Lepisosteus oculatus: one gene and its partners. The protein of the gene in region 2 purifies or fractionates together with the protein of the main gene of each other region. This does not show direct contact. Links are inferred from orthologs where the notes say so. Each region holds a gene or a part of one and is shown on either strand. Other genes may lie near its edges. The genes, in order: trim25, g3bp2a and caprin-1.

Region 1 (7,933 bases), on a different chromosome or scaffold from region 2:
CTGCACGGCACTCTGGGAGCAGGGGGGCGGGCCGTGCTCACACGGCACTCTGGGAGCAGGGGGGCGGGCCGAGCTCACACGGCACTCTGGGAACAGGGGGGCGGGCCGCGCTCACACGGCACTCTGGGAGCAGGGGGCGGGCCGCGCTCACACGGCACTCTCGGAACAGGGGGGCGGGCCGCGCTCACACGGCACTCTGGGAGCAGGGGGCGGGCCGCGCTCACACGGCACTCTGGGAGCAGGGGGCGGGCCGCGCTCACACGGCACTCTGGGAGCAGGGGGCGGGCCGTGCTCACACGGCACTCTGGGAGCAGGGGGGCGGGCCGTGCTCACACGGCACTCTGGGAGCAGGGGGCGGGCCGCGCTCACACGGCACTCTGGGAGCAGGGGGCGGGCCGCGCTCACACGGCACTCTGGGAGCAGGGGGGCGGGCCGCGCTCACACGGCACTCTGGGAGCAGGGGGCGGGCCGTGCTCACACGGCACTCTGGGAGCAGGGGGGCGGGCCGAGCTCACACGGCACTCTGGGAGCAGGGGCGCGGGCCGCGCTCACACGGCACTCTGGGAGCAGGGGGCGGGCCGCGCTCACACGGCACTCTGGGAGCAGGGGGCGGGCCGCGCTCACACGGCACTCTGGGAGCAGGGGGCGGGCCGCGCTCACACGGCACTCTGGGAGCAGGGGGCGGGCCGCGCTCACACGGCACTCTGGGAGCAGGGGGCGGGCCGTGCTCACACGGCACTCTGGGAGCAGGGGGGCGGGCCGAGCTCACACGGCACTCTGGGAGCAGGGGCGCGGGCCGTGCTCACACGGCCCTGGAGGCGGTGCAGGATCCACTCTCCCAGTGGAACAACTGCTTTCTTCAAGCAGGAGGGAAGAGGTCTGGCATGATCCAGCACACTTAGCGAGTCGCCCACTGGGCGGGCAGGGCTGTGGGTCAGATTAGGCACCCATTCACCATTCAAGTCGTAGTTGAACTTTTAGTTTCCTGTCTGAGCTGTGGCAGGCTACCCTGGGGGCAGTTTCGGTCCAGCTCTGCCCCTGCCCCTGTCCGGTCATGACCTCCCCGGTGGACAGGAGCGCTCGGTCACTCTGGACCCTGTCCTGCCCTTTCAGAACACCAACGGGGTGAACTTCTACAACATCCTGACCCAGGACCCCGATGAGGCACGGAAGGCTGTGGCAAAAAATGGATACCGTGGTAAAAACGAGCCTTTCTTTTTCTCCCGAGTGCCGGGTTTCCTGCCGTGTTGAGCCCTTGCTCCTCTTGAGGGGGGGGCTCTCTTCCTCCCAGATCGCCTCCAGCAGTCAGGGGAGCCTCTGCCCGCCCTGGGGTCTTCATTCCTGACGGAGAGTGAGCTCTGGGCTGCTCTTGGGCACTGTGGGCACAAAGACTGACAATGGCACCCTAACGTGTCTTTAAACACACTCCAGCCCGACGCCGGCGCCGCGGTGTCAGATCCCCGAGACCCGTCGTGCGCTCGTGCTCTTGGCGGCCGCCGATCTTCTCCCTCCGCGCGCCGGCCGCTCAGCCCCGCTCCCGCTGTCTCCCGCAGTCTCCCTGCAGCGCCGCTGCCTCGGCCCGCTGCACGGACAGACGCTCAGCCAGCTGATGAACGGGCCCATCCGAGACAAGCTCAAGATCATTCCCAGCCGGGTCACCTGGGGAGGTACGTGCCAGGCCAGCCGAGGGACCCCCGGTCTCGCTCTGCACTTCCCTTCCCTGTGTTTGCTCCTGTTTCCCCACGCGGGGGATCCACAGGGTCTTTGGGATCGCCTGATCCCCTAATGACCTGCCCGACATGACCATCGCTCGGGATCTGAATTACAGTGCGTGAGCGTCTGTGGACCGTAGTGACCGTGACGGTGAGCTGGACCAGCAGAGACGGGCGCACTGAGGGGCTGCGTCTCTGTCAGAGGGGTCCGGGCTGGTGAGGGGCGCAGCAGAGACCCACCTCCCAGCGCACTGGTGGGACAGGAGGCGACCCCTGCCTGCCGTGGCTTGAGGGTCCTGCAGGATCCTGGCTGGGCAGCAGTGGTTTCTCCAGTGGGCTCCTGCAGTGGGACAGGTGTCTCCCAGGGCTTCCTGCACAGCACGTGGTCACAGGTCACGCTGGTCCAGTCTGCAGGGACACATACCCATGTGCCTGTCTCCCCAGGTCAGGCCTCGGACGTCTTCGTCAGCATGGAGGGGGACTTCATGAAGCCAGTGGTGGACATAGTGGACCAGCTTCTGGCAGCCGGGGTCAATGTGACTGTCTACAATGGACAGCTGGACCTCATCGTGGACACCATGGGTATGGCCCTGAGTTTGCACACCACACAGATGGTCCGAGGAGCAGGAGCAAGACAAGAGCCTGTCATTAGTGCCCAGAACACTGGTGTCCAAGCAGGAGCACAGACAGCATAGAAACGCCACAGTCCTTCACCTCTGCCTGTTTTACATTTCAAAACGGTGTGTGATCAAGCTTGTCTCATGAGGATGAGTGGCAGAAGAATAATTGGTTTATTTCAAGGGAGACAATCTGGTGCTGCAGAGACCTGGGTGTTTCTCCCCTGAGAATGACCAGTTCAGGGGTGTTCAGTGGTGCCCTGGAGGGGTGTCACGGAGAGTGGGTCCTGCCTGCAGTCACTGGCTCAGGGTGACACACCGAATCAGAGGCACAGCCTGGGCTTGAACTGAGAACCAGCCTGTTGGTAATGAGCCCTTAACCTCAGGCACTACAGCAGTAGCTTCCCGTACAGGAGGTGTGGCCCGCGGCAGCAGCTGCCCCTGGGTGAGGTCGTGGAGTGCCAGTGACGGGGCTGTGTGCTGTGTTCCTGGCAGGTCAGGAGGCCTGGGTGAAGAGGCTGAAGTGGGCGGGACTTCCTGCATTTAGTAAGATGAGATGGACAGCTGTGGATGACCCCGCCTCCCATGGCCAGACGGGAGCCTTCTACAAGACCTACCAGAACTTCGCTTTCTACTGGATCCTCAAGGCCGGACACATGGTAACACTGCACAGGCACCCTGATGGTGTGATAACATCCCCCCTGCCCAGCCCACGGTTAAACATGGCGTTAACATTGCTGTACTGTTTTTAAATCATGATTGACTGACAAAACAAAACAAGCTTGAACATTTTCTGACTGAACACGCGTTAAAGAAAACTCACCAGGCTATAATCCCCACACAAAAGATTACAAATGGTCATTGGAAAGGTTTCTCGTCTGGAAACCAAACTTAAGTTAAATAGACAGAACACAGGGGTCAGCAGGTGAGGGGTCAGTTCAGGGGTGTCCAGGGGAGAGGGGGGGTCCTGTCTAGGCTGTTCTAGGCCTCTTTAAAGCAGAGCCACCTGAAGAGCAGGTTGCAAGAGGCTGTTCAATTGGTCCAGTTAAGCCAATAGTGAGCTGATAGAGGTCAATAACAGCTGACCTGAACTAAAGCCCTGCAGGACCTCGACTGGACACCCCTGGTCAGACTTGAGGTGCACCGCGGGCCCAGTCTCACTGCGCGCCTCTCTCTCAGATCCCTTCGGACCAGGGCGGGATGGCCCTGGAGATGCTGAAGATGGTGACGCAGCAGGAGTGACCCGGGCCAAGGGCAACGGGGCCATCGCCGGAGACAATCATGTCCACTGACCGTGACCACTGCTACCCACTCCCACTCCCGCTGCCTTCTCTGTTTCAGTGCGCTCGCAAGTCAAGAGGAAGTACCAAAAACAATGTTTTTTTTTAATTTCCAGAACAATGCTTTAAAACTGTTGGTAAAGATAATAAAAGATGTTTTTTTTACAAATCTCATCTCATCTTCTGTCCAGTTGTCCTCTGCCTTGTGCCTCTTGTTTTCCTGGTGTTCTGGCCCCGGGCACTTTCACTCTGATACGTGCAGAAGGAGGGGGACACGCCAGTTGAATGACGTTGACTGACATGATGCACTTTAAACTCTTCTCATGCTGAACCACATGACTGACGGAGTCGAGCGACCATCACTCTGATACTTCAGTTTCTAGACTAGCTGCTAGAGAGCGGATAGTTATTGATTTGGAGCTCCTGGAGTCGATCGCAAGCAGGTTGTTTCAGCTCGTTTTTCGTCAGTCACTAGCGTTTCCCTCCTCCTGGGAAATCGGGCACTGGCTCCAGCTCCTCCATGACTCTGGACTGGAGGAAGTGGTTCGGAAATGTGCTGCTTTAGGTAACTGCAGTTCAACTCCAGAGCTGTCTGTGTGGAGTCTGTATGTTCTCCCCAGGTTTTCCTTGTTCCTCCAGGTGCCCCAGTTTCCTCCCACAGTCCAAAGACATGCTGGTGGGTTTATTGGTTTCTGGGAAAATTGGCCCTGGTGTGAGTGTGTGTCTGTGTGTGTCCCGGGGGTATCCTGCCTCGTGCCCAGTGCTTGCTGGGATAGGCTCCGGCTCCCCTGAGCCTCTGCAGTGGAAGAAGCAGCTTGGAAGTGGCAGGATGAAAACATATCAAGGGCTCGGGCACAAACAGCTTCCCTGGCTGTCACTTGTCAGGCGTGTCACTTGTTCAAGTCTCGGCAGCGTTTTCTTGCTGTTTTTAGTTTTCCCTGGGACTGTACATCCATCCATTTTCTAATTGCTCCTTCCAGTGCAGGGCTGAGGGGGGTCAGAGACTATCCAGGCACAGGGTCCAGAACCCATCGCTGGACACACGCAGACACACAGGCACGAGTAGAAGGTACATTTCTCAGTCACCATAACTATATTAAGCATGAATGTAGCATCGGCATTTCTGCTGTTTGCATGTTTTGCATCCAGCTTGGATGCGATTGTAAGTGTCTTGACGACTCGTCTGGCCAGAGGGACCCCTGTCATCCTCCACTGAAGAGCTGCCGCACCTGCGCGACACGCTGAAACCGCGCAAGACGAACCTGTGGAGGCGCCGCTTGAGAGAGAGAGAGAGCGAATCAGGAACACCGCTGCGGACACACTGCAGACACAGCCTCGCTGCTCGCGCGCCGTACCCGCGGATCTCGCCCTCGCGAGCGCAGGTCGCGCGCACCGGCTGGACCCGCAGCCCCGCGCGCAGGCGGCCCGGCAGAGGACAGTCGCAGTCTCGCCGCGCAGGTGTGCAGGTAAGACCTCCACGCAGCCGCTCCCGGTGAGCTCTGGCGGATAGGCTGTCCTTCGCACGCTTTAAATATGTATATATATAGCGATCAGAACAACTGGAATGACGTGTAGAGTAAAAAAGTCATCTTAAGTATCGGGTATAAAAGTATTTTTTCATGTCACGCACAGTCGAGCCTATGTAGTGATTCCAGACAACCAGTCTGCTCTCTCGGTCTTGTTTATAGTACCTTTAAAATGTGTTGTTATTCGAGATCATGGACTGGAGCCCATAACAGCGAGGGGCGGCCTAATGTAGTCATTTTTAAACGCATTATAGCCCATTTGATGTTTTGTTTTATTCGTCTTGAAGTTTTTCTTGCCTAAGGGTAAAAAAAAAAAAAGAGTATCGTAACTCGTAGAAAGAGTAATCGCCTCTTCTGCGTTGCCAGGTTTGCGCTTCGGGAGCTCCAGTTAAGTTTCGTTTTCGTTTCCGGCTTGCCTCCGCCCGGCCTCTGCAGGTTTCGCCCGTGACGCACCCGTGACGCGCTCGCCTCCCCCACCCTACCACCCCACCCGCGCGCTGACATGGCGTCGCCCCTGCTGAGCCTCGCGGAGGAGCTCGTGTGCAGCATCTGCCTGAGCACGTTCGACAGCCCCGTGACCACCCCGTGCGGCCACAACTTCTGCCGGGGCTGCCTGGAGGCCACCTGGCAAGAGAGCCAGCAGGTGGCGCTTGGCTACAACTGCCCGCAGTGCCGCACCCACTTCTACACCAAGCCGGAGCTGCGCAAGAACACCGTGCTGAGCACCGTGGTGGACACCTTCACCAGGGCCCAGCCGGCCGCCGGCCCCCGGGACGAGCCGGAGCACGGGGACGAGCCGGAGCCGGACCCGGAGTCTGTGCTCTGCGACACCTGCCTGCAGGCCCGCGCCTGCAACACCTGCCTCACCTGCATGGCCTCCTTCTGCCCCGAGCACGTGCGGCCCCACCAGGAGAGCCCCGCCTTCCAGGCGCACCAGCTGGGCGCGCCGCTGGCCGACCTGCAGGAGCGCCTCTGCGCCGAGCACTGCAAGCTGCTGGAGTTCTTCTGCCTGCAGCACCGCCGCGCCATCTGCAGCCTCTGCCTGCAGCTCACGCACAAGCCCTGCCGCTTCTCCACGCCGCAGGAGCAGCGGGCGGAGCAGGAGGTACGGCCCCCCGCCCCCCGCCCCCCGCGCCTCCTCCTCCTCCTCCTCACCGCGCCCTGTCTCCTGCTTCACAGGCGAAGCTGACGGAGAAGCTGACTCTGCTGAATGAGAAGATCGAGAAGACCCAGATCGTCGTTTCACAGATGAAGGAGCTGCAGAGCTCTGTCCGGGTGAGTGTGACTGAGGACAGGGGACAGGGGACAGGGGGGAGAGGACAGAGAGCAGAGGACAGGGGACTAAGGGCAGGGGGCAGAGGCCAGAGGACAGGGGGCAGATGACAGGGGGGAGAGGTCAGGGGGCAGGGGGCAGAGGGGAGAGGGGAGAGGACAGGGGCAGATTTTGATGCAGTAACACCTTGTTTAATACTGTCAAGTTGCCACAGTGCAGAGGAAGAGTATACAGGCTACAGCTGACAGCCGGACTCTGTCTCCACTGGCTCTGCTGGACTGTGAGCCTGTGGGGCGGCTGGTGCTCAGTCACTGTCCAGCCAAGCTCGGCGTTTCTCTTCGACAGCCTCAGCCCCTCTACCGCTCGAACCCTGCCGCTCAGTGACGAGACCTAGAGAACATTCTGGACTCCGGCCGTCAGGGCCTGGAATCCCACTGTACTGTATCAGTCCCAGACCAGTTTTCACTGAAGTCATTGGATATACTGTATATTCACGCCGCCCAGGAGGTTGGTCTTGGAGAGCACACGAGGGTGGTGCTCGGCCGTGACTCAGCCTGCACGACGGTGCGTGACTCATCTCCCTAGAGACCAGTTTCAGGAGGATGTTTCTGAGCCGTTTCTAGGGTGCAGGTGATAAACAATCCTGCTCCCTGCCTGCAGACGTGTACGTGGCAGAGAGGTGTGCCGATGTTACAGGAGTGTCCTGCCATGAGCTGGATACTGTACACATCCTTCTCGCCCGCCACCTGCGGGCCCTCGTCCTTAGATTGTCCCCCTGGCTGACAGCCCACCAAGCTCTCTGAGCACCTTTGAATTTTTGAGTCGAATCCCCTCTTGCTCAAGCCCGAATAAATTCAGTTACAAATTCAAATCTCAATGCAGAGCTGCTTAAAGACACCGAGAGAAGATCAGAAAGATTCGGCAAGTCTTGCTTGTTTGGCTGCGAGTGGCTCACTGCTCCCTGGGTCTCGTCCACCTGCTTCCTGAAGGGCCCCAGGGGCCGGGGAGTCCCAGACACCTGCAGTCCCCTCCGCTCTCAGGCCCTGCCTTGCTCGCGATGACCAAGCTTTTCCTCTCTCTGTCGGCTTCTCCTGGTGTCCAGGAGTCCGCGGAGTCCAGGAAGAAGGTCCTGGCGGAGCTGTACCGGCAGATGAAGGAGATGCTGGAGAAGGATGAGCGAGAGGCCCTGAGGGCTGTGGATCACGAGCAGGAAGGCGCCCAGACCCGCATCCTGGGCCTGATGCAGAGGATGAGCATGAACGTGGAGGAGATGGCCAGCACCAAGGGCCGCGTGGAGGCCCTGCTGGCACAGAAGCACAAGATCAGCTTCCTGCAGGTGGGGCCGCCAGCCTCGTGCCACTGGCTTTACAGCACTGCGTCTGGAGATCCTGCACGGCAATTTGAACTGAGAAATTGTAAACATCTAACAGCAACGATAGTAAATATATATGCGTGTTGAAAAGGCGTTTCATTCAGATGACTGATGTGTTCAAAAGAGGGTGATTTGAAATGATTTCATCCTGCT
Region 2 (7,021 bases):
TCACTCCCCGCAGGAAATTCATGTCTCCCCCCACCAAGCCGAAGCGCTTTAGTGTTATGAAAATGACCGGGGCCGCGGCTGGTTGTACTGCGATCCCAAGCGTTACTCCGATCCTCGATCCCTTTCCCCCCCAGACCGATCTTGTTGTGGGACACTGACACACACAGCTACCCCGGAACAGCACTGGAACACCGCGCTGCGCAGGCGCGGAGACGTGGCGAAACGTGGCTGCTCACAGGGCCAGAGGTGATTTTTAAAGTGACAGGACCTCCTTCACCTTTCGGGGGGTCATGGCGCCCCATGGTTTTCCGGTTTCCCCGGCTGGTCTTGCGCAAGACGGAAGGCGATTTTTAAACACGGGATTTCATTTCGGTTCGTAACTATTACAAACAAGGGTTACACTTGCTTATACAACCGAAAGCATGACTGTAGGTGGCCCTGATAAGCTTTCAAGTGGCACCAGAACAAAACCAGGATTGCAGGACTGGTTGCAAAAAAAAGAAAGCCTTTTCTGGGGTCCTCCTTAGACAAACTGAGAATCCCAAGGTTTCTGGACCAAAGAACACCTTTGTGACATTGGACGGTTATTAAATAACATTTGTAATTGTTCTTCTATACTTATTTTTTTTGCAGGCATTTGCTTCATTTAAAAAAAAGGGGGTGTTTCATCTAACAGGTGGTCATTTCGCTATTATGACAGGGCTTTGCAAATTCGCTTGCATTGTGGTAGTTTAGAATTCAAAACAAAGGCAATAAGCAACACTTAACAGTCCAACACTTTGAAGCAATCTGTTAGTTGGTCTTAAAGGTGGTGCTTGGAAAATACCCAACATCAACAAAAGACTTGGTAATGAAAATCTTAACTTACACTGAAACACCTTGAAGAGATAGCCCAACATGCAAGTTAAACATGTGATGCATGAAGTGAGTTTGAGTGTTAATGTTTCGTCTGATATGTCAATTCATCATTTTGTAATGACATTGTTTTTTACAAGGATGGTTGAAGGTCACCAACCTTCATGTGTGCTATTGATCACACGGTGCCCCTATGTGAACAACTGTTCGCTTGTGTCCCCACCATTGGCTTGGACACCAGGAAGACAAGCATGCAAACAGATCATTGTACTTTAGCAGATATAAGAATACTAGAATGGTTACAAACAAGAAGAGACCATTCTGTCCCTCTGTCTAATTCAGTTTTTCAGTAGCTAGCTGATATGGCTAGGCAGCTTCTTGCACACTCCCACACCCCACAGCAGGAAGTGCCACCTGTTCTCTGTTTTAAAATGCACTTCCTGTGCATGTAGTTTCTATTTGTGCCTTCTGGTTCATATTTCAGTGTTGATTCTGAAGACTTTCATTCAGTAGTACTGCTTTTATCTAGGCTTTTTAAGATTTTGACGTCTTGAGTTTGGTTCTCTCATAATCTTCTTTGTTCAAGATTAAAAATAATGATTTTACCATTGCTGGTTGGAATCACAATGCAACTTCATTGCATGCAGCTTCTAACAAATATACAATATACAATTTCCAATGCACAGTAATTAAGTTTAAAAAATAAAATAAAATTATCAATCGTAATTTTTATTTCTGATGACAGTAACATCTTTTATTCTTTATTTATAATTCAGCTATTTGTATTTTTTAAGCATTTGAAAGTGGGAAGAATGCAAAGTTTTCAAACAACTCTAAAATGTTTTTTTTTTTCATGCAAGCAACAGCTAGTTTTAATAATATGTCCTCAGTGATTATTTGGTTGTATTTCAGATTATTTCCTTTAGATACACAAATTCACATCAAAGCAAAAATTTACTTGGGCATGTCACAAAACAGGTGACCACTGCAATTCAAACGACCTCACCTAGGAGAACAGATGAGATATGTTCATATTTCATATTTGACATTTACTGTACTTTTTCTGAAAATCTTCCTTCAGACATTTTTCTGAGAAATGACTATGCCCAGTTTGTTCTACTGTGAGCTCATTGTGTATACAAATTTTTCTCTTTAAACTTTTTTCTTTAACCACTTGTATTTTTTTATAAACTGTTTTATAACCATTAAAAGTACTGGTTTCTTGTCAAGACTATTTAATGAGTTAGCTACTGTATGCACACCAACACACTGAGTTAAATGCCTTTCCCCTTGAGAGCCCTAAAGTTCAAAACTTCAGCTGTTTCTTGCTGTTTTATATGCAGCTCATGTCTTGACTGGTCTTTTCTGCAGGGGTACATCTACCCCTTCCCCCTTGTTACAGATCCACAGTCCAGCCATTTCTTAGAGACACCTGAAGAAGGCTCCACGGCCAAAACGTTGTGTTCTCTTTCTTCTTTTTTTCAGCATGGAATAAACCTATTACTTATTTCTTAGAGATGCTAGTTATTTAGAATTTAGCCATCTTTGAAACATGAACAATCTTTTGATTGATCATGTTTGCCTTTGATCAGTCAAGCATTGCAGGCACAACTTATACGATGTCATACTGTTTCCTTAACTTATTCAATATTGTTAGTCTATACTATGGTGGAAGAATTGTGCTTTTTACACAGTTAATGTATACAGGTCAAAGTTTAATTTAAGTGTGCAGTTCTGTGATTCTGTATGTTATTATTTGAGCCTTTCCTAGAATACTTACAAATATCACATTACTTGTTATTGTGTTCTGTAATTGGCTTTATTTTTAAAGTCTGTCTCTTAAAAAAGCATGTGAGTAAAATTAAAACATTAATTTAATTAACTGCCATTGAACGGCCAGATTAAAATCTTTTATTTTAAAGTGTCATATTTTGTGTTTTTGCTGATAACTACTGCCCATTAGATACTGCTCTTTCCTGATGTGCTTCATGCTCTTCAGAAACTACTAACATCAAACAACACAGGTGGGTCTCACTGAGTTCATATGGATTATATATGTCCAGCCCAGAAAAAATAACTATCTGTGCCTTTTTTGTCTGTATAATTGCAACCCTCCTGTGGGACATCTTTCACTCCCCTGTTTGTCTATAGTCCCCCTGAAGTTCACTAATTGCTGACTTTCTCATGGAATCAAGGTTTAAACACAGAGACACGGAACTCTAAAGTTCAGAAAAGGGCAACATTGAACCCTTGTAAACACAGCTGATTTGATTTCTTACTGACCTAATTGGTTAATTCAAGTCATGAAAGTCTGAGATGGAATAAACACAGCAAACAACACTAGAGCGATAGGGATGCCTACCCCTGATGGAGACTGTGGCATAATGCAGGGTTACCACATTAGAAGATTCAAAAACAGGCTTCAGTCGTGGTTCAATAGAGCTGTGTTTTGGACTAGACACTGTCATGAGTTAATTATCCAGAGACTGTACTGAAACTGCAGGTCCTTTGGATGTTTCTCTGTCAGAAACGTCCTGAGAGGAGAGGGAGGAGTCTGAAGAGGAAATTCAGGAGACACAGAACTGGGGAGGGCACAGGAGGAGGCTCAAGAAAATGTAAACAGAGGAACATTAGAGAGAAAAGCTACTCAAGAGCTGACAGGAGAGACACTGGCTGACACAAGGCATGAAGTTCAGCAAGTGGCTTAAACTGAACATTGGAACCTCGGAATCAAGTTGTACAATCTATGTGTTACCGTTTTCGCTCTAATTTGCATTCAGGTCGTTTTTTAAAATCTGATTGTACCATTTTAGAATTGCAAGCAAATGATTTAATAGGAAGTAGTGACCAAGACAGGGAAAAAAAGGCACAGGCTGCAGCAATAGCAATACTACATGATGATACACAAGTAGAAGAATTCGTAGATAATAAATGTGTACAAGAATGTGTCTGGCAGATAATAAAGCTTATTATTACTTCTGCTTGTTATTTGTGTGCCTTGCTTTTGGTTTAGTTAATGTCTTATTCTAAATCTATTGTTTTCACACAGCGCTACATTATGAATTTTTTGCACTGTTTAATTTATTTATTGTTTTAAACCGAGGGACTTCTGGATAAGGACGTCAGAGGTAAATATTAATAAATAATCGCGTAGTATCGGAGGGTCTTTGTGACGTCATAATCTCGAAGCGCTGGACCGGCGGCGCGGGAGGCGGGCGGGAAAGCACTCGCTTTTTGCGTCACAATAAGTATTGTCCAATGTGAGGTTTTTATTGGTTTGTTGAGTGTGACGGGGGTTCCCTGCCCCGGAGAGCAGGGGTGAGACAATAAGATAGAATCTATCGCTTTAAATCCCAATCTCTGATTAAACAGAGATCATAGAGTCCTAGGGCAAGGTGGGGGGAAAAAAAATCAGAAATTAATCCGTTTTCCCCAGAGAAATACCTGTTTCCGTGTTTAACTGACTAGCTTTATCTTCAGTATTAATCGCCATTCTCTTTAATCACTGTGTTGATTTAGGTAGGTGTTTAAAAGGTAAGTTCGATTTGTTTTGCCTTAATTTGGGTAATTTTTGTTATTCTCCCGTGTTTTGGTGGTTTGATATTAATCACTTCACCTTATTTTGTATTTGTTTTTGGTTACGTAAAGATGGGGTATGGCGTGTGCATTTTCTAACATGAAAAGGGATATTTAGCACGTTTGGATTTTTCTTCTATTTTTCAGACCAGTTCTAGTGAAAAGGGACATTCTTGGTATTTTTTTTCCAATTGTGTGTCGTTTTGAAGAGCTCGCGTTGCGTTTGAGCGGCGAGATCAGAAAAGGCCTGTGTAACTGTGTACAGTAGCGGTGTTTTTTAACGTGATGTCGAGCACGCTACCTGCTGGCTTTTCGTGCATTATCTTTGTTTACACACCTCGCTAAAAGACCGAAGGAAAAAAAAAACCGTTGATGTACACCCATCTGGGCGCGGATTAACGTGTTATTTTGTGCACTTGGCGGGGCTGTTGATTTTAACACAAAAGAAACGACGCCATAACGCGCACCGCCATGAGCCCCCGGCCGGTTTCACTATCGCTCTTTCTCGGAAGCGCGACTGAAGCAGCCCAGACAGCCGCGGTTACACCTCTCGTGTGCGGCAGCGGCCTCGGCTTTTCGCACAGGAGTTGACGGGTGCTGGCGGCCAGTGTCGTGTCCGACAGTCTTGCTGCGGGAGAAACGCTTGATTTCAGACTGTTTTTTTTTTTTTTTTGACGCGACCGACCTACTACTACTACATGCACATTGCGTCGCTGCAGGACGGCGGCTCTTAATGAAGGCCGCGCTGTACTCCTGAGAACTTAGAAAAGACCCGAGCTGACTGCTCCCCCTCCTCCTCCGCATCCGCGTACGGACTGTCGTGCAACGGGGTGACACGATTTCGTGCCGTGGTGCCGGGCCGAACCGTGCAAATGCGATTTCGTCCCCGTTGCGCTGGAGGGCCTTCCGCCGTTTCCCAGCGAGCCTCCCACCCGGGTGTGCGGGGGATCTGACGAGCGTGGGGCAGGGGAGACGTGAAACATTGTGGAACATTTAAGAAACCACCCGGGAAGGTTCGGGTGGACTCGGGATCCAACGTGGTGGAGGAACGAAACACGCGTTTTTTAAAGTAATTCGTTGCGGGTGGTTGGTTTTGTTAGCGGTGGTGGTGTTGCGCGGAAGTGTGTCTGATGGCGCAGTTGAACGCGGCTAAGGTGTTGCTTGCAGGAAGTTGGCAGCGTTAGGCGCCGTGGAGGCGCTGGTTATTACCTGCTCGCTGGAGTTAACACGACTGTTGGCCGTGTGTTCGTGAGGGGTGCGAGCAAAACCCGACGGGACGTAGCTTATTTGGTCAATAGTGTTGGATCACGTTGTTTCACGGAGGACTAACCCTGCGGCATCGTCCTGTATCTCTCCTCCTCTCGCCCCCGAGCTTGACGGTCTCCATGTGCCTGAACGGCATTGATGAGCCGGGCGTAAACAACTCGTTTCATTTTGCAAACGAAAGGCTGGGGTGATACATTTTTTAAGGATTGGACCCACATGCAGCTTAATAGACGGCGCTCGATTCGGCCAAGAGAAACAAAACACAGGCTGCGCGAGTTTCCACCTCCAGTTTTCTTTACCTTTTTTTTGTACAGGTCTGGGGGAAAAAAAAGCACTTTTTTGTTCAGCATTTTTGGCCTTTTTTTCCTCAATTCATAACTTTATGTTGCCCCCACACCACAATTTAGTATTAAGGTTCCCTGCATAATTCATACAGCTGTCTACTTGTGTGCATTGGCCTTTACTGATCTCCAGGGCGCTATGATCTTTGTGCATCAAAAGTAAAGTATGTTTGGGAAAAGGCATAGGAAGTAGATTTGGAACTTGTGCCTGTATTTTGAAATTCTGAGGCGTCATAAAAAATAAATGATCCCCCCCCCCCCACTCTCTGAAAGAAGTGGTGGGGAATATGGAATATTTCTTTGTTTTCTGTGAACAACAGAAGGGCATCTAAAAATGCATCGCCGTTCTTGTTCCATAGACCCTTGCATAGCTCTGATCATGACCTGCTGCACATGGAGGAGGTTGCTGTCGGCAGCAGTGACCTTTCGCAGTGATTAACTTCCGGGGCCACGCTGAATTCATGTCCCCCTCCCCCTGCTTTTCTTTCAGCACGTTTACCAAAGAAATGGTGATGGAGAAGCCAAGTCCCCTGCTTGTAGGGCGGGAGTTTGTGAGGCAGTATTACACCCTGTTAAACAAGGCACCAGATTTTCTGCACAGGTAAGGGAGAAGGAGTTCAACCCCCTCGTAGCTGCAGGCCAGTACCGGCCAAAGGGAAAGCTTTTTTTGCTGCGGTTTTGCTGTTTTGTTTTTTTTTATATTCCTTCCTAGTATCAGACTTACTGTGCAAGTACGTGTTGGGAGATTGCACATAGGTTTGAACACTCCCCCTGTGCTAATTTGCGTGGCTGCCTCGGTTTAGGGTTTGCCATGCAAAATGATCTCACCTGTGATCCCGGCTTTTCTGCTTTAGGTTCTACGGGAGGCACTCCTCCTATGTCCACGGAGGGTTGGATTCCAATGGGAAGCCGGCAGAAGCTGTTTATGGTCAAGCTGTAAGTTTTTTTTCCTGTGGGAAATATAGCTCAAACATGTCTGCATG
Region 3 (7,351 bases), on a different chromosome or scaffold from region 2:
TTTTAATCTTTTAAGAGGGATCTTTTGGAAGCTGTTTGATTACATGTTAGTTTCTGTTTTGCCACAGTGCTACACAGGGATGACATACCTAATTCAATCAATAAAGAATGCATTGTTACTGAATTGTTACTTTATACATTAAAACTTCCTTGATAGGAAGGGCCATCAACTATAAACACCCCCACAGAAACATTAGTGTAAAATCACAATAAAATACGTTAATTTCTCTTGTAGACAGGAATATTCTCTGTGTGGTAGAAGGTTTTCCGAATGTACTGTACAATTTCCTGGAATGCTTGTGGAATATTTTTAGAGGCTTGGCCTCTGTTCCTGTCCAAATTTTTCCAGGGAACAGTGTCTCTGCCATAACAACCTAAGGCAAATGAGGGCTGAGTTGGGAACCTGATAAAAATGTACATGAGAAAGCAGAACTGAGAGAGGACTCCTATTTAAAGATGAAGGAGGTCCTGGTGTCTGTTTGAAACACAGCAGGTTGCGGAAATTAGTCACTCATCAGAAGGGGCTTTCATTATCCCTTGAGACCCTACTGTAATCAGTATTATCCTTCTATAAAAACAGCCATTCAATCAAAGAGCGCAATCAAGGAGGGTTGGAGCCATGTTAACTGCTTCCTGTATCTGCCAAACCAAAAAAAATGCTTCATCAAATGAAGTAAGAGAGCTTTCTGGATGCCAGATTATGGAAGCCCAGAGCAGTTCTAGCCACGACACAAGGATTACCACCAAACAATGCCAGGAGATCCTTCATAACCAAGTAGCTGTCAAATCATCTCATCCAAAGGTGACACAGGAAGGGTACTTCCCACTGCACCACAAACAGCAAATACAGTAGCAACCTGGTTTTCCTTTTACCTTGGAAGCCAGAATTTGTCAGGTTCAGGCTTACTTAGTTTCAAAGATATCTTGATAAGCTTTCGTCAATAAACCTGCCATTTAATCCATCTACCCTCTAGAAATATATTTCACAGAGGCTACAGTACTGTACATTCAGGTTTAACAATTTCATTTTATTATAAATGTACTCTTTATAATGTATTAAGGTAGTAATATAATCTTTTCAAATCATTTACGTATCGTAAATGTCTGGCATTATTAAGGGTGAATATTCATGTAGTTGCTGGGTTTGCCATGATTACTCTAAAATATGTACACTTGTCATAACCCAAGTGAGTGTGACAATGATGATTAGTAGTATGTATGTTATAATACCAGTTATAATATCAGCAATCGTTTATCAAGAGTTTTCATTGAAGCCTGTTTATGGCCCCCTTTCAAAACCTAGAGACCTACTGCCCCCTTGTGGAATTGTGTACAGAAAGGCAACCACAAGCGCCTGTGAAAGAACTGCGTCATATAACAGTATTAGTATATAATAATATACCAGACAAGAGTGCTGCCCTGCAGTTAAGACTTTTAAAAGTAAAGATATGGCTACAGCAAATAAAGTAATAGGTTGTAGAGATAACTGTATGTTAACTATGTAACTATGTAATATGTAAAATGATTGTACAAAGACTATTATTTTGTGTGTTTACTTTAGTTCTATGGTGATTTCCACATGACTGCTCTTGAACACTTTTCTAAAACCCACAGACAGCATTTAAGTGGAGGTAAATCTTGGCAATAATGCGATAGTTGTTAAACAAGATTCACCACATTCTCCTTAACTGCATGCATTAATTTAACAGGTTAATATCTCATATTGTAAAATGGATTTTCTGACATGCTGAAATATAGACCTGACTTTTATGTAGGCTGAATGCTTATGAAGCCTACAGCTTGACTGGTATGTGTGGTGATATGAATCAGGCAAATTGCTTTCTGTATAATAAAGTGTATTTAAGTCTGCTGCTTTTTTCTCACCAGGAGACTAGCTGCCCACTGTTTCTTCTGATATCCTACACTTGATTTGTAATTGCATTCATCTGTTGATATCCAGGTGGCACAGTGGATAGCACTGCTGTCTCACAGTGCTGGGGCCCTGGGTCCAATCTCCTCGTGTTCGTGTGGGTTTCCTCTGGTCCTCCCACTGTCCAGAGATATATTGGTAGGACAATTATCTTCTAGGGAAATTGGCTCTGGTGTGTGTTTGTGTCAGTGTGGGCCCTGCAATGGACTAGTGTTGATATTCATTATATCTATGATATAAACAGATTTCACATAATTTAAGCACATACAATTCAGTAGACACTTGCAGACAATCAACATATAAATTAATAAAGGTTTGGTTGTGCACCATAGAGATACCATACCATAGAGACTGCAAGTAAAGCAAAACCAGATTCATCTCAATGAGCAATTCGCATATTATTGTCAATGTCACCTCCTTAAAGTGTTGCCCATTATTTTGGACAGTGTTCAAAGTTGGACATGTGCCAAACCCCAGAGAGTACCCATGGTCAATGGTCTAAAAACACTATATCTACTGTATGTAGATATTTTTTCTTATACTGTAGTCTATTTTAATTCAATGATGTATTAGGGAAATGAGGGTAGGCTTCAACTAGATTGTTTTAGACCCCCTTATTAAACGTTAGTGAATAGGAATTGAATGTGTGGTTGAAGAACAGTTCCACGCAATAGCCATATTGCAACCTGAAATCATCTGGTATATTTTCAAACTGTCACTCCTAATGGTGGTTTGGCTCTCCTAGAGGATAATTTGTCGGATGGCCTTCTTCAAATTACCTGCTGCATTTAAGGTGTGCAGGCCTCTTCAGGGTGAATAAGTCCCAGTCCACATCTCCCACAGCAAGAAGAGGATACAAATAAACTGAAGAGTGAGACTAGGGGCATTTCTATTGTGCACACTGGGATACAAAGCCGGTCCTATTTGTGGTATTAGAACGCAACCAAACATAAGTCAACATTGTCTCAGTCTTCACTCAGCTCCAAAAATAGACTTATTTGGGTGCACTAAGACCCACCAGCACAAGATGACACGTGTGGAAATACTCATTCCTAGCACATAAGTATACACCAGGATGTGCCAGCAACACCATGTGTACATTTACCTCACAGAGCATCAAGACTTAATCCCACCTTGAGGTTTCTCCGTCGCATTGCATACATTCTTTGAACAAGTCTGTCATTGATCAATTACCATGCTACTTTTTTTATATAAAAGTATCTCTCCCAAACTATGCACCACTCACTCAGGCTTACCTGATCTCATTTTTCAGGAATTGAGCTCACAAAAAACAGTTAATCTAATCTTTGTTGTGTTAATGTAAAATCTGTGCCAGTCTGGACTGGCTCGTACAGTGTTTTTTTTTTAATAAGATGTGTTTAACTTTCATTTGTCATCCTTTTTTAGCTTTCTTTAATGTTGTTAAACTACTTGATGTATGTTAATAGAAATCTGTTCAAAAGGGATTTAAATTTTTATTTTTTCTTTGAACAGATCACTTACTGCTGACTCATAAAGTATGGCTCTTCATAAACTTAGTGACAAATCTGTGAGATTTTACAGCATAGTTATGTGGTGTTGTCTCAGTCTGTTTGGAGTGGTCTTCAATGATAAAATATTTCTGCTGATAAAAATTAAATCACAGCCTGTACAGAAAAAAACACGACATTGAATTCTTGTGAATTGCTTTGAACAATCGTATTTGTCTTCATAATGCAACTACAAAATTCTGTATCCTTATTGGACAACAGTACATATATATATATAGTTTGTAAAATTATTACATTTATTGTTACGCTGTGATACTGAACTTGTAATAGACTTTAAAATGCATACTGGGTAATAATACGCATTATATTTCGATGTCTGAAAATGGTTATGTTTGTATGTGTAAAAAGCAATAACAAACTCGTTTACAAATCAATTTGAACATTTTTGCTGAACTGGCAGTGTAGTGCTACCACAAACTCCAGAATTAATGACGTAAAACATACCATACTGGACATACTGTATGTACTTGCGTGTATCAAATTTAATCCCGTGAAAGCCGACTAATCACTGTTAGTAGGTAAAGCGTAAGGATTTTTCCGTTTATAGCAATATAGAGAGGCATTAAACGGGCTGCATATGACTATTGGATGCAAGAGCGTTACGTTTTTAATGCCTGTATAATTTAATACTGTGGCAAAAAGCTGTATACACTGGAATATAAAATGTTTATCAGTTAATGGCACTGGCCTCCTTCAATCAGCATGAAATAATGAAAGAAGAATATGTTACTTGTATTTCGTATTTATACATGAAATGTTAGTGTTACAATTTGCAATCAATCCGGACACCCTCCAAGGCTAAGTGGAGCTGTATGTCATGGTCGTGTGTGACATCATCAACAGTAGCAGCTCATTTTGGACAGGCGCTCTGCAGGAGCACTTTGGGTCCTTCTTTCCCCAGGCAGTGACTCTGACGGAGCAGAACTGAACGAGGTACAGAAAATGTGCTCACTTTTAAGTGTGCCTGTTTTTAAAACAGCGCATATAATATAGGGCTGTGATTGTGGCGATAGCATGGACACGAGATATTCCAAAATAAATATGTATTTCTACCCAAAGAAGACGAATTAATTAAAACTCCGGCTCCACGCGTTCTTATATAACAGCAGTCAGCAATTGCTATGAATGTATTTTGTTACTGCAGTTAAGCCTGGTGATCAACTGCCCATAGTGAAATGTCACGCTCTTCGAGAAAGACTACATTAAATAAGCACGGCGTTTTTTTCGGTGTTCTTGAAGTATAACATAAAGTTGCCTTACGTTTTCTACCAATGTAACGTGACACAAACTGTCTGAAGAAGCAAAACTGCGTGTTTCCAGAGAATAATGCAGGCATGTTAAAATGGAAATGCATAGGAAACAGGAGACGAGCTTCGTCTTGCTTGCCTGTTCCGACACTATCGACAAAAAAACCTGCCTTGGAGCAATTTAGATTAAATTTAGAGATATGCGGGTAGGAAATAATTTGGAAATGTGCTCTAGGGAGTTGGAAAATGCCTGTCTCTTTTACTTTTGTTACATAAGGTTTGATACGTTTAACTCAAGTTCAGGCAGATCCTCAGGCAGCTATAACGGGGGCCCTTCCTCCATATAAAGTGTTGCCGCTCCGGTTGGTCTCCCTCAGTTGTCGGTGCGGCCGGCGGGGCGGATCCCAGAAGAAAAAAAAAATAAAATAAAAAGAAAGCAACATCATTACAGACTAAAACAATTTAACATTCAAAAAGTCATTATTTATTCCCTTGTGGATAAATAGAAACTGAAAAGGTAAGCACTCCCGACGAAACTGGAGGGGAACGACGCGTTTTCGGCGGAAGGCGATTGTTTAAAAACACAATGCGTACCCAACCACCTCAGTGGCTTCGCAATTTACAGGCAACTCGTGTGGGGGAAGAGGATTATACCGGCTGTCGTGTGCGGATGATTTTGTAAGATGGTATTTCCTGGGACACTGGCACTGTTGGCTCTTGCTTCCGTTTCCAATGTAACGGCTGAAGTGAGCAGAAGAATGACCGAGAAGAAAGGGAGGGGGTGGGGAGGGTAAGGTCTGCCTGCTGGAGTTTAGGGGCTGCAAATCGGAAGGTTTTACCAGTTTAACGGGGCATCATTGCACGTAACCGGACGGAGAAATCTGGCCTTTCCACAACATGAACTAGCTGGGGGGGGGGGGTGATCTTTCTACGGAAAGTTACTGTTCGTGTTTTAGAGAGTTGGCCATAGATATTTTACAAAGTTTCTCTTTTTTTTGTGTAAAAATAAGAACACGCACGCAGACCATGGCCAGCGATTTTCCCTCTGGCTGCTGCTGCTGCTGTTTTCTATTGCTGAAATATACAGTCTGGATGGTGGAGGTATTGTCGTGGATGATGGCTGCATTTTTAATCACGAGTTTCTGTTGACTTCTTTCTGGGGGGGGGGGATTCAGTAGGTAGTTTGACTGATTTCAGCCGAAAGAAAACTGAGGGGCAAGAAGGTGATCTCGTTAGTTCGGCCCAGGTAGTTCTGACTGACGTCTTGGCAGTGTGTGCCTTAATTGCTGCAGAGACATTGTTCCGCTAAATGAAGGCCTTTGTTTTGCTGTACTCTCTACCGACCCCTTCTGGTGGAGAAGAGTAGTCAGGCTGCGGTCTGGAATAAAACTACGGCTGTCAAGTGTCGGGTCCCAGCGCCCACTGGCCCGGGCACTCTGATTTCGGTCTTTAATTCGTCTCAAAACGGTTGCTGGATGATGGTAGAAACTTCCCAGGCTCTCGACGCTGTTGAACCGTCTCAGACACCGATGACAAGTCAACAGATCTCACTGCTGTCAAGTCACCCAAACACACTGATGGCTCAGCAGCGCTAAGCCTCAAGTGCAGGATTTCCAAGTCTTCCTGCTGCTTTTCCAGATTAAGATGTTGGAGTTGTAGGGTCTGACCAATCTCACTGCAACACTGACTAACCCTTTTTTTTTTGTTTTGCCATCCCTTCCATCCTTGCCTGCTCAGATGCCCTCAGCGACTATTGGCAACAGGACGGTGCAGTCCTCCAGTCCGGAGGTGGGGTCCGCTCCCGGTCCGCTGGGCCAGCTCTCCGGTCCCGGGCAGTTCCAGTCCGGGGCTCAGACGGAGGCCATGAAGCAGGTGCTTGGTGTCATTGACAAGAAAGTCCGTAACCTGGAAAAGAAAAAGGTAAAGTCTCAGGTGGAGTCAGGACAGCCATCACCTGGGAATCCCCACACACTCCGGTGAAGTGGTCCTTGTTAAGGAAATGGCATTTGCAACAACATGTTTGCATATCACACAGTACTGTCTAGAGGGGTTTATGTTTCTGGGACCTGTAAGAGTGTTAACTCTTTCTGGGTGCTGGGTGCAAAGCACCACATAGCACTGCCTTGTGTGTGTTACCTAGTTTGAGACTCACTGATGGTGTGACATCATGGAGGGGTTCTACTTTTTGCCCCCTGGTAAGGGTATTTTAGTAAACGGATGTAATCATTATCAGACTTTTAAGGAAAAAAAAAGTTTGCCTAAGAATGCATCTGGTAGGAAGGCACACAATCAAGAATGTTGAGACTTTCCTGAATCATATGCATCACAACATTTATAGTAATGTCAATACAATTTAAGAAATGTCAGGTATTTCTTTGCAGTCATGTCGATCCAACATTAGTCTTGACAGATAAGAGTAAAAACGGGGTGCATGGTTAGACAGTGTGGGTTCATCTGTCTGATCTCTGATCTGTTTGTCAGTTTCTTACATTTTCCATTTGTCATCGGAAGCTGCAGTATAATTTGGTACTTAGCTGCAGGGATTTGACTTCTGGCTGGGGACTGAGGCGTTGAGTTAATGAACCTTGCGTCACTTCGCTGGACCATTTAAAATAAGACATCTTT

The links.
Region 1: the proteins of g3bp2a (region 2) and trim25 purify together in Homo sapiens (affinity purification with mass spectrometry; 4 studies listed by BioGRID and IntAct, counting the BioPlex papers as one, with this or other methods). This does not show direct contact. The link is inferred for Lepisosteus oculatus from reciprocal best matches to the Homo sapiens genes G3BP2 and TRIM25.
Region 3: the proteins of g3bp2a (region 2) and caprin-1 purify together in Homo sapiens (affinity purification with mass spectrometry; 5 studies listed by BioGRID and IntAct, with this or other methods). This does not show direct contact. The link is inferred for Lepisosteus oculatus from reciprocal best matches to the Homo sapiens genes G3BP2 and CAPRIN1.

What each region holds. Positions count from the first base shown.
Region 1 is NC_090704.1:46,864,596-46,872,528, forward strand, and holds the start of trim25 (E3 ubiquitin/ISG15 ligase TRIM25), read left to right. Parts: upstream 1-4,919; 5' UTR 4,920-5,075; intron 5,076-5,570; 5' UTR 5,571-5,637; coding exon 5,638-6,240; intron 6,241-6,314; coding exon 6,315-6,410; intron 6,411-7,510; coding exon 7,511-7,744; intron 7,745-7,933. Other genes in the region: scpep1 (retinoid-inducible serine carboxypeptidase), read left to right, coding at 1,114-1,198, 1,554-1,667, 2,157-2,294, 2,825-2,988, 3,509-3,571.
Region 2 is NC_090696.1:72,269,124-72,276,144, reverse strand, and holds the start of g3bp2a (ras GTPase-activating protein-binding protein 2), read left to right. Parts: upstream 1-3,958; 5' UTR 3,959-3,983; intron 3,984-4,136; exon of another isoform or gene 4,137-4,389; intron 4,390-4,728; exon of another isoform or gene 4,729-5,500; intron 5,501-6,528; 5' UTR 6,529-6,544; coding exon 6,545-6,639; intron 6,640-6,892; coding exon 6,893-6,974; intron 6,975-7,021. Other genes in the region: uso1 (general vesicular transport factor p115), read right to left, coding at 1-22.
Region 3 is NC_090716.1:11,124,167-11,131,517, reverse strand, and holds the start of caprin-1, read left to right. Parts: upstream 1-4,321; 5' UTR 4,322-4,412; intron 4,413-5,085; exon of another isoform or gene 5,086-5,243; intron 5,244-6,463; coding exon 6,464-6,646; intron 6,647-7,351. UniProt on the Homo sapiens protein: mRNA-binding protein that acts as a regulator of mRNAs transport, translation and/or stability, and which is involved in neurogenesis, synaptic plasticity in neurons and cell proliferation and migration in multiple cell types.